3 linked regions of the Arabidopsis thaliana genome follow. The protein of the gene in region 3 interacts with the protein of the main gene of each other region in a pairwise test. Each region holds a gene or a part of one and is shown on either strand. Other genes may lie near its edges.

What was found.
Region 1: the proteins of AT2G30120 (region 3) and RIN1 interact in a two-hybrid assay, tested with the Arabidopsis thaliana proteins (one study listed by BioGRID).
Region 2: the proteins of AT2G30120 (region 3) and FRI interact in a two-hybrid assay, tested with the Arabidopsis thaliana proteins (one study listed by BioGRID).

Annotation. Positions count from the first base shown.
Region 1 is NC_003076.8:7,392,635-7,396,387, reverse strand, and holds the start of RIN1 (P-loop containing nucleoside triphosphate hydrolases superfamily protein), read left to right. Parts: upstream 1-2,107; 5' UTR 2,108-2,316; coding exon 2,317-2,406; intron 2,407-2,979; coding exon 2,980-3,168; intron 3,169-3,288; coding exon 3,289-3,420; intron 3,421-3,511; coding exon 3,512-3,661; intron 3,662-3,753. Other genes in the region: AT5G22340 (NF-kappa-B inhibitor-like protein), read right to left, coding at 56-215, 312-401, 521-555, 643-723, 889-945, 1,050-1,169, 1,470-1,642, 1,729-1,879. UniProt on the Arabidopsis thaliana protein: Proposed core component of the chromatin remodeling INO80 complex which is involved in transcriptional regulation, DNA replication and probably DNA repair.
Region 2 is NC_003075.7:267,007-270,759, reverse strand, and holds the start of FRI (FRIGIDA-like protein), read right to left. Parts: upstream 1,860-3,753; 5' UTR 1,735-1,859; coding exon 796-1,734; intron 403-795; coding exon 397-402; 3' UTR 230-396; intron 141-229; 3' UTR 1-140. Other genes in the region: KEA2 (K+ efflux antiporter 2), read left to right, coding at 2,971-3,753.
Region 3 is NC_003071.7:12,860,264-12,864,016, forward strand, and holds the start of AT2G30120 (protein FLC EXPRESSOR), read right to left. Parts: upstream 1,709-3,753; 5' UTR 1,600-1,708; coding exon 1,073-1,599; coding exon of another isoform or gene 1,069-1,072; exon of another isoform or gene 956-1,068; coding exon of another isoform or gene 943-955; exon of another isoform or gene 938-942; coding exon 762-937; intron 676-761; coding exon 584-675; coding exon of another isoform or gene 566-583; exon of another isoform or gene 416-565; coding exon of another isoform or gene 344-415; exon of another isoform or gene 227-343; coding exon 137-226; 3' UTR 1-136. UniProt on the Arabidopsis thaliana protein: Transactivator required for FRIGIDA-mediated activation of FLC and for the expression of the repressors of flowering AGL27/MAF1 and AGL31/MAF2. Does not alter expression of known activators of FLC expression.

The sequences.
Region 1 (3,753 bases), on a different chromosome or scaffold from region 3:
CTTTGAGGTATCACGGATAAACATAGCTAAAACCTCGCAACGTGGAATAGCTTACCTGAAAGTCGAACAAGTCGTTCTGGAAATACTTGTGAGAGAGTATCCACAAACCATAAATTGCAGCTGGTATCACCAAGCGTGGAGAAGAGAGAGCCATGCCACTGCCCCTGATTGTCCTCACTACAAAGTCCTCAAGGTCTTCACTTCTGATCCCGATTCTGAATTGGGACAATACAAAAGCAAGTTCAGAGCAATGTGAGTATGGGAAGTGAGAAGAAAACGTGACCAGACTAAAAAGTTGTCAAGGTCTTTACTTTTTAGACTTTTTTTTCAGGAAGATATCAGGAACAGCTTCACGTGATAGACCATCAGCGTATCCATACAAAAGCTGAAGGTACAAGCAACTGCACTATGATCAGATTTGGTTAGGAATACGCGAGTGCTCGATCAAGCATGTTGCAGAACTATATCTTACAACGTCAAGGTCTATTTATGTACAAACCAATTAAAATAGACAACTAACCTGAATAGAACCCCAACTGCATAACTGACTGCAGCCTGTCATATGTCAGAATATTTCTTTCAGACACATTTTCGTATAGAGAAGCCATAGTATAAACTGGTTAGAGCTTTGACAGAGCTTACCTGAACTGATAAAGCTAGTAAACAGTATCCGCTGCATCCAGTTCCAATTACAATCGACAGGTACATGAGTTCACGCTTCAGCTACAAAAATAAAGACACAAACGCAGCAATTTCAAAGTTCATTCTACACAAATTGACTACTGGTACATACTGAACAGCCATTTTGCATAATAGAGTGTTTTGTTGAATCATAAAGATCTGACTGGCAGACTAATTAAGAAAACATACTGAAAGGAATAATCATACAGCTTCATATTTCAGAAAGTTAAACTTCTTCCTTCTCTCGCTGTCATCTCGTAGTGCCTGCAATCAAGGAAGTAGGACAAACGCAGCAGAGTTTTGCAATGAGAAGGACGTGTGAATGAATGAATACAGAGAACAAGAACATTCATAAATAGATGACCAACCTTAGCTAGAGCTTTCTTATTCATGGGGGCAGAATCACTCTCCCAACCAATCCATTCTTGTGTCGGTTTAAGTTTCAAGAAACCACTTTCATCATCATCAGCGCCATCTATCAAGCTTTCCTGCATATACAACATAAAGACATTAATAAAGGAGCTATACCAAGTTACCAACCAAAGTAACAGTACCAAGTATAAGATTGTTGCCATGAAAGCTATAAATTTGTGAGATTTCAGAAATTCACAAACCAATACTGGATTTCATAAAAATGTAGTCACTCACATAACAATTGCAACAGGATCATATAACTATCAAACTATTCCTCGATACAAAGTTAGCAATTTTAATCGTCAAAAGCAAACTTAGAACTGAAGAAAAAAAACTAGCTACAGTTACTAATGAACAAGTGAAAGAAACTTAACCCGAGTATCATCTAGTTCAACAGCTGAAGAAGAAGCTCCATTGGAATTAACATCAATAGATTCGAGAATCTCCTTTAACCAGAGCCTATCAGAAACTTTAGATATGAAATCTCCATTTTCTTCTCTGTCTTTCATGAACATTTGCAACACATCCTCCTCCACTAGCTCACTCACTAAAAACAAAGCAAAAGACATGAAATTTTCCACAAAGAGCGAACATTTGAGTAGTAAGGTTCAATGTAGAGAGAGAGATTGTCACCAGAGCGAGAAGCGGCATTAATGGCGGCCAAGCGATGGGAATTCCTGTTGGGAGGTCGCCGGAGATGATGCGGCGGAGAAACTCTCACCTTCGTCGGAGGAATGGTTCCGCCGGAAAACCAAGAAGCGGCGGGAATCGAGAGACTCTCCATGTAGCGAGAGAGTGAGACGGCCTCTGGTTTTTTTCCAGAAGAAGAAGCTTATCACTATTGTTGATGAAGAGAAAGAAAGTTTCCAAAAAGAAGACCCTTTTATTATTCATATATTATAATTTCACCCCTTAATTTACATTTATGACTATTGAGTCCTGTCTTTTTGTTTCGCCCTTTTCTCTAATTGTTTTCGTTTTCTTTCTATTTCTGAGTTTAGGAAGTGTGGGGTGATTTTGTAAATAAAGGATAATATAAAGGCCCATTGTTGCAACAACATGTTTAACATATAAACTTTGTTAGGAAGAGGTTTTGGCAATTTGGAGTCAGAGGGAGGCGTTGCAAACTCAATAAAGCTCAAAACTTTCCGCCGTCGTTTTCGTCGTCGGAGAATACAACAAAAGACCTAAAGCAGATCAAAGTAATTGTAGTTGACGGAGATGGAGAAAGTAAAGATTGAAGAAATTCAGTCCACCGCTAAGAAACAACGGATTGCTACTCACACCCATATCAAAGGCCTTGGCCTCGAGGTGCTCCTTCTCCTCTCTCTCTTTGACTCTAGTGGATTCCAGTAGTTTGCTCGAGTTTAGGGTTTAGTTAAGGTTTTATGTTCTAAGCTTTTTTAGGGTTTTAAAGCTATTTGCTTCGTTTGGTACTACGCTTAGAGTTTCTTTTCTCTGTTCTAGCACAAACAAACCCTAGTTTTCATTTGTAAAGTTTCGACTTTTCTGGGGATAAGATGCATTGCAGTATTCTCGTATTGCTCAAAGTTCTTTAAGGTTTTGTGTTTAAAGTTTAATGATTTTTAGGGGTTTCAAGCTCATTGCTTCGTTTGGTATTCTCCGAGACTCTTTTTTCGGCTCTAGCACAATTATACTCTAGTTTTGATTTGCAAATATTCAATTTTAATACATGTATTTTATGAAATATATAGTACTTGACCGATGTTTGAAGACCTTTGCTCTTCCACTTTGGCACGGCACTTTGATTTTAATTAACTATCTTTGCTTCTTTTACTGACTGTAGTTTCTCAAGCATCTGTGTGATCTCGTTCTATAACCAGTACATCATTTCTGTTGCTAATGTTGCGTCTCTTTTTCTAGCCAACTGGTATCCCTATAAAATTGGCAGCTGGATTTGTTGGTCAACTTGAGGCTAGAGAGGCAGCTGGTCTTGTAGTTGACATGATTAAGCAGAAGAAAATGGCGGGCAAGGCTCTTTTGCTTGCTGGACCTCCTGGAACTGGGAAAACAGCTTTGGCTCTTGGAATCTCTCAAGAGCTGGGAAGCAAGGTAATTTTGGATGTCTCATTTTGTATCTTCTTTGTTACATTGTTTCCACATGGCTTCATTGTATGAAGCTTTTTTCTTTTACTTTTAGCTTATTTTATCTGGATTGTTTCTTTCTTGCAGGTTCCATTCTGTCCAATGGTTGGATCTGAGGTTTACTCATCAGAGGTTAAGAAAACAGAGGTTCTCATGGAGAATTTTAGACGTGCCATTGGTCTACGTATCAAGGAAACCAAAGAAGTCTATGAAGGGGAGGTGTGTTGCTATTTGCGGTTTCTTTTGCTGTGTTCTTATGCAATAGCATGTCTCGCTAATTGGTTTTTGACATGTTGTCCTTGTGTTCTAGGTCACCGAGCTGTCACCAGAAGAAACTGAAAGCCTCACTGGAGGTTATGGTAAAAGCATCAGCCATGTTGTAATTACACTCAAGACAGTCAAAGGAACCAAACATCTGAAATTGGATCCCACTATCTATGATGCCTTGATTAAGGAAAAGGTCAGTTCTTGGCATGCGATGCTATGCTTTGGATGTGGTATTTTCCCCTAAGTTTTTGCTTTTCAGTTTGTTCCAAAACCTGCTTTTCTTTT
Region 2 (3,753 bases), on a different chromosome or scaffold from region 3:
TGAAGAGTGTCTTTCTCCAAGCTAACAATTTGCTCTTTGATCTGCCATCCTGGTAGTTCTTTCGCAGGATCTAACTTGTGAGTCTCCATACACTGCATAACTGATGATAACACAGCTAGCTGCTTTGTAGCCGCTTCTTTCTGTTGAGAAATAAATATATCAATGGTCAGACTCAGATGATGATAAAGAGTTCATAAAGGTACATAATGTGCAAGGGAAGGGTTCATACAAATGCCAGCGGTGACTGGGCTTTCCGTTTTGCCCTCTCAAATGACTCCTTGCTCATCTTTAAGAATGAAGTTAGAACTAGAGCAGCTGAAAACTTATCCTCCATGCCAAAGGTATAAACCATTTCAAGAGCTTCAATATGCATTCCACGCTTGATACTTGATTCAACTATACCTATGACCAATAGAATATTGTGTAAGTACCACTTCTTAGAGTTGGCATTGCTTAAGCTTAATTAGTATCCAACAGCTAAGTCATATGATTTTAACTTCCAATATTGGAAACCACAAGAAACACTATTTCAAGGCAATAGCCTATCATTTGGTTCTGACAAGCAACAATTTCGTACCAAAACCTATGGTTGAGAGTTCCAAGTTCTTTCCAGATTAATTTCTAGCTAGGATTTGGCTCAATCAGTCATTGCACTCTAAATATTTGATGTGCTCTCCTAGTTTATACCATCAAGCTTATCGAAAAACAAAGATGGAACTTGATGTTGGTCGATGATGTCAACAAAAGGAACCACCTTTGCAATGAAATTCACCGAGTGAGAACAGAATATGGTACCTGAAACTGTGACCGCTTCAAAGCACCGGCAATCTCATTCGAACCACTCATCCTTATCAAATCCAGCAAATCTGTACTCCTAAAGTTTGAAGGAACACCAAAACAAGCAACTAGTAAAAGCAAACCCCTTGCATCCATTTTCTCAGCCGCAGCTAATCCTCCTTCAGTCATCAACCTTTTCCTCCAAGCAACAGCAGCCGTCTCCGCCTCATCTTTAATCCAACTCTCAATCTTCACCTTCCCTTTACCACGATCAGGCATTAGAAGAAAAGACTCCAGTATAAGAAGCGAAACTTGTCTCGCAGAGCTCATAGGCGACTCTTTAGTAAATGCTCTACGCCCTTGTAAGTAAAACTTGCCAATACAATCCAATACAAACTTCGCTGGCTCCTTGGCCAATTTCAAAGCTGAAGGAATCTCTTCCATTAACTTAGCTTGATCAGAGATATTCGCGTATATGTATTTACGCAGACCTTTGCTACACATCAACTCACATATACGTTCCCCCTCCGGTTTATTCGACGTCTCCGGTACAATCTCCTGAGACGGTTGGCTCACAGTGACGGTGGTTTCTACAGATACATTGTTCCGCGGAGGCGATAACATCGGCTGATGGAAATTATTGTTCCGCGCGGCGAGGACAACGCCGTTACTCTCGAGTTTGGAATCAATTGCGTTTTCGATTGACTCGATGTGCTTCTGAAGATCATCGAATTGGCGTTTGAATGTTTCCACTGCAACTGAAAACGCAGCTAATTCGTCTATGGATTTCAAAAATTGAGGCTGCTTAGATTGACCGATCGTAATGTCCATACTTGTAGACTCTGTTTCGACAATCTTCGGTAATTCTCTTCGTCGCTGTTCAGATTGATGTCGCTGCAGCAGTGGATTCGCCGTCGTTGTGGGTTGCGCCGCCACCGTCGGTGGATAATTGGACATGAGATTGCGGCGAAGAAAAAAGATTGCAGAAGCCCTAATTTCCACTCTCCTTAAATCGGTCAAATTACCAAATTTTATTGAACTGTATATTGTGAAGTTCACATAAATTATATATTAATTAGGAAGTAACCTATCTTTTAATTAGGAGAAAACGACTTTTTCCTTTGAGGTAATCGTTATATGTTTAGGGCTTTTATAGTTTTGCTTATGAAAATATGTATTTGTGTTTAATAATTTAATAAAAGTCAGATATATATACACTCTTTTGAGTCTATGCCAAATAATTGAATCTACGCACTTTTCTCTTTATTCTTTGTATTTGATTAATGAAAACATAGTTAGGTTGCATGATTACGACATGTAATATATTGTTTTAAATAGTCACTAAAGCAGTGGTTTATAACATGTCTAATCACAAATAACGGTTCTTGCTCGGTAATATGAACCCAAAAGTTACTGTCTTACTCTACCTGCACTAATGGGGGTGATGGTGTGCTCTTTTTAGTCTTCAAACACGATAATCCCATGATAAAATCCTTGTGTACTTGGTTTAAGTTGTGACTTGTGAGTACTTTTAGTTTTAGGTGGGAAAGAAATGAAAACATTGTGGGCTGACGGTACTAGGTAAGCCCAATAAGGAAAACGACTCTACGCAATCAGAGAAGGTCGCCAAGCGTACGGTCGCTCCCTCATCAACGAACAACGTCGCTCGCTTTTTTATTAATAATAGTTCACAAATATTAAAACACATTTGGAAAATGACTTGGTCACGCGCACCCAAAGGCAGTGCAAAACTAAACGAGCCACCTATCAGTAAAACGTAGCCGTTGATTCGAACCACGTGTATATTGCACGCACCACATGCGAGTACGAGTAAGAGAGTTGGTGGTATATTCACGGCATATTATATGTGCACGAATTGAATCTCTCTAAGCACGAGAGGGCATTTTCGTAACTTTCTTATAAAAAAATCCTACCACGAGTGATTGGGCAAAAAAAAACTGAAAGAGGAAAGAGAGAGTTGGACGGAAAATCTGAAGACCGCCGAGAAAAATACTGTTGAAACGGAACTCTCTTACGTTTTTTCTCAGGAGATACGTTTCATCTTCCTCTCAGTAACTACTCGATTCTCACTCACTCTCGCCGCCATTGATTCTTCATCAGCTGAAGCCTTGAAGCTCTCTTCTCTTATGATCGGTCAGTCTCTTGTTCTCTCCGTCTTTCTGCAGCAGTAATATGGATTTTGCGTCTAGCGTTCAGCGCCAGAGTATGTTTCACGGTGGTGCGGATTTTGCGAGTTACTGCTTGCCGAATCGAATGATAAGTGCGAAACTCTGTCCCAAAGGACTCGGCGGCACTAGATTTTGGGATCCGATGATTGATTCTAAAGTTCGCTCAGCTATTAGATCGAAACGAAATGTATCGTATCGTTCTTCTTTGACTTTGAATGCTGATTTCAATGGAAGATTTTACGGTCATTTGCTTCCTGCAAAACCCCAAAATGTTCCGCTGGGGTTTAGGTTACTTTGTCAAAGTAGCGATTCTGTAGGAGATTTGGTTGGGAATGACCGGAATTTGGAATTTGCTGAAGGTAGTGATGACAGGGAGGTTACGTTTTCTAAGGAAGAGAAAGACACAAGAGAGCAAGATTCTGCACCTAGTTTGGAGGAACTCAGGGATCTACTGAATAAGGCAACTAAAGAATTGGAAGTGGCTAGTCTCAACAGTACCATGTTTGAAGAAAAGGCTCAGAGGATTTCAGAGGTAGCGATAGCACTTAAGGATGAAGCAGCCAGTGCGTGGAACGATGTAAACCAAACACTTAATGTGGTTCAAGAGGCTGTTGATGAAGAGTCCGTTGCTAAAGAAGCTGTTCAGAAGGCTACTATGGCATTATCTCTGGCTGAAGCAAGGCTGCAGGTTGCACTTGAATCACTAGAAGCAGAAGGGTACAATACTTCTGAAGAGAGTGAGGTTAGAGATGGTGTTAAAGATAAAGAGGAAGCCCTTTTATCTGCT
Region 3 (3,753 bases):
TACAGAGTAGAAAAATTCTTCGAACTTCAATCAAATAAATTATTTGGTTGAATACACTCGCTAAATAAGATACACTAAAACAAAAATTGTCAAATCAAGTATATGGCTGGCCTATTCAAACGTAAGCAAGACACTATCACAACACACTAGAATGTTGAGTATTATTCAGAGGATGCTGCAATGGAGTAGATGGGTCTTGAGAGAGACAATCCGATGCTCTATATGCCTGAAGTGTATATTTGTGTGATGTTAAACACTACTAGAATCGAACAATGTTAAAGTAAAACCGCAATCTTATCATAAGCGTTGAATTCAGTCAATTATGAGTTTACAACAATTCTCACTAACCAACGGATACTTGTACAAGTTGGACACTTACTAACCTATGAACATAACTTTTTTCCCTGAGAACTAGCTATTTTGCTAAGATATCAGTTCAGAATGTAAGACAATCAGAACTTGGTATGCCAATCATTACAAACAATTAGTCCAATCTTCTCCTTCTCCATAATAATGCTAAATTAGGAGAACTTCTAACAGATGATCACGTAAAGTTACTACTTATCTATAGACTCATGTGTACCTCATGAGTACCATTAGCCTCCGGGTATTGCCGGCCTTGACCTCCATATATATCATCGGTGTTGTTTCCATAACTTGCAGCCAATCCAGGACCTTACATCAACAAATCATCAAAACTATAAGGTGGTTTTGCAGTTAAACTGTGTAAAGCAAAAAGCTAAAAAAGACAGAGAAATTACTTGGGGTTGGAGCTGCCTCAGCAGCTGCATTTGCTTCTCTAGCTTTAGTCTCCAGATCAACCAATTCTTCCTCAAGTTTTACAATCTCTCGATTCAAATGATCGATAGTCTTCTCCATACCGCGCTCATGGTGAAGGTTACTAGCTCGTGTCTTCTTCTCCAGCTCAAGAGCAGCCCTGTTTCATATCCCAAACCTCAAACAAATTCATTACTACTCCATAAGCATCCAAAAAACCATCATATGAGTATACACTACAAGATAACAAATCCAATGTTCCAACAAAAACAACAAAGAGAATTCAAATTTTCACCTTCCTTTACGAATCTCTCCTCGAAGAATCTCAATCTCCAATTTAACCTCAATAGCTCGATCCGAATTCGGTTTAGCCTTAGCCATCTCATCATCAAACATAGCCAATTCCGTAGCTAACTCCTGTCTATCACTACCTAACCTCTGTACATCAGACCTAACCTGACCAAGCTCAGCTCCAAGTCCATCAATCACACGAGCCTCCGCCTCCATTCTCAACGCATTCTGATAAACCTCACGCACTTTAGCTTCTCCTTCCGCTTTAACTTTAACAGCGGTTTCAAGTAACCGTTCGAGCTCACGCTTAGCTACATTGAGCTGGTCTTTGAGTCCGATGTGTGCTACAGCTAATCGTTGATTGTCGTTGAGAAGAGATTGGATTTCACGGTGTTGGATTGCGATTCGATCCTCGAGGATTACAGATCGAGCTCGATTTCGATCGGATTCGATTAATTGAGATTCTAATAATCTTGAAGATGATGAAGTTGAAACTGCTGATGATGGAATATAACGATCTCGTCCGGCCATAGTTTGCGATCTCCGATAATCTTCTCCGGTTTGTGAAAGTACTTCCCTAATTGAATTATGGTCGTTCTCTCTGTCAAAAGCTTTTTTATTCCGAGTTCGTTGTTAAAATAAGCCGTACCATCAAAAGCTAAACTGCGCAGCGCAAAAAAAAAAAAAAAAAAAAAACGTTATGAGCCCAAACTACAGTTATGATATGCTTGATTAAGCCCACTTGGACCAAACTAAGCCCAAATCAGAAAATTTGAGGCCGATTCAGACGTTGAAGGAATAAATTACTAGATACCTAGAGAAAGTATGTGCATCTTAAACCTTACCAAAAAAAAAAAAAAAGTATGTGCATCTTAAAAATATTCATATTAGTTTAAATATTCAAAATCTATTTACTTTTAATTAAACAAAATTTAAATATAAATTATGTGTTTATAAATAAGAGTTTGAATTTAGATTTTACAATTAAACGAGATTAATTACATTTTTGTTTAAATTTTGTATAGAAAGATTAGAATTTAAATTTTACAATTAAATAAAATTATATGTCAAATTATAAATAGCACCAATGACATTAGTTCAGTATTTTTTTAGATTGAAATGATTCAATTGGTAAAGAAAATATTTGTAGAGTACTCCAAGATAACACATATCTAATGGTAACCTATTTATATACAAACCGGAATAAATGAAAAAATTAGTCTTCTTTAACATTCTTAAATATATAATCATATTCATATGGAAAACAAAAAGTAATCGTAAATTTGATTATGAAACTATATAGTCTAAGTTGGAAATTCTAATAAATAGTTTATTTTTGAAAAAAAGAAAAACAAAATCCTATACAATCTAATTTTGTATCGCCAAATATTACATTTATTAGTGTTTTTTCTAACGATATACAAGTTTTTACTGACAGAAAGTGATAATCAATGATATGCTAATTGATATCGAAGGTAGAGTTAAAACTGTAAAATAAGAAAAGACGAGGCGGCAAGAGCTAGAGTCCAAGTCTACGGATTAGCACGAAGCTCTGATGTTTCAGATTGCTTCTTTTTGTTTCTTACAGAATCTTACAGACTTATTAAATTCCGACATAAACAGAAACTCATTTCTTTCACTCATTCAACTAAAGTTTAAGCAAAAACCAAACCCTCAGGTCTTTAAAGTTTTTTTTTTTTTTTGTCCCAACTCTTCAACACAAAAGAGACTTCAATAAATTTTAACTGAACTCAGTCAAACATTGCTTCTTGTCTCCTCCCCCACCGTTTCCAAAGATTTTATTTTTTTCTTTGGGTAAGAAAATAAAATAGAAACAAAAGAGCAAATACCGAGAACCGAATCTTCCATGTCATCTCAAAGCATTTAATGATGTGCATCGAGTCTCACATGCTTATTTTTCTCCGAGGTGCCCAAAGATGTCTGTTCTCTCTTCTTCTTCTTTTTTTGTCTTCTAAAATTTTGATTAAATGTTTAGTTTAGAGAATTATTTAGTTCTTCTTTCTTTTGAATGATTCTAAAATACATTAGCAAGAAGAACCACTTCCCAATGTGACAGTTCTAATTCTAAAATATATCCCTCCATTAACACCTAAACTATTTATTCTTCCTCTAGAGTGGTCCTATTAACTGAGTCATTTTCTTTTCTATAATTCCTTTTAGTACTAATTAACTATATAGGGATTTAATGATCCTAAGCTCAAATTATATTTCCACTCGGACTTTGCATAGTTACAAATTTTGTGGGGTTTTTCTGTTACAAAAATGAAGAAGAAATACCGAGTTAGCTTTTTTTAAAAAAATTTAGCTTTCTGTTTTCCTTATATTTACTAATTCTAATAAAAAGCAAAATAATATCCAAGTCTTGACACTTCTAATCTTACCGTAAAAACATAGAGTAAAAGTTAGAAATAAAACACTGAAAATTAGTTATAAAAAAAATCATCAATTGACGATGTTGGTAGATATATCGAAATTTGGTCATTCAACTATTTAAAAATTCATTAGAAAAAATATGCTGATCATAAATATTAAATTGTAGTTCTTTTTTATATAATCATTTATTTTGTTGATTAGTAAATTTAAACTTACAACCCAAAAAAAAAAAAGATGTAGTTGACTGTTGGTTTAATTTGTAGACTTAGTTACGTTAGGGGTTGATTGTGA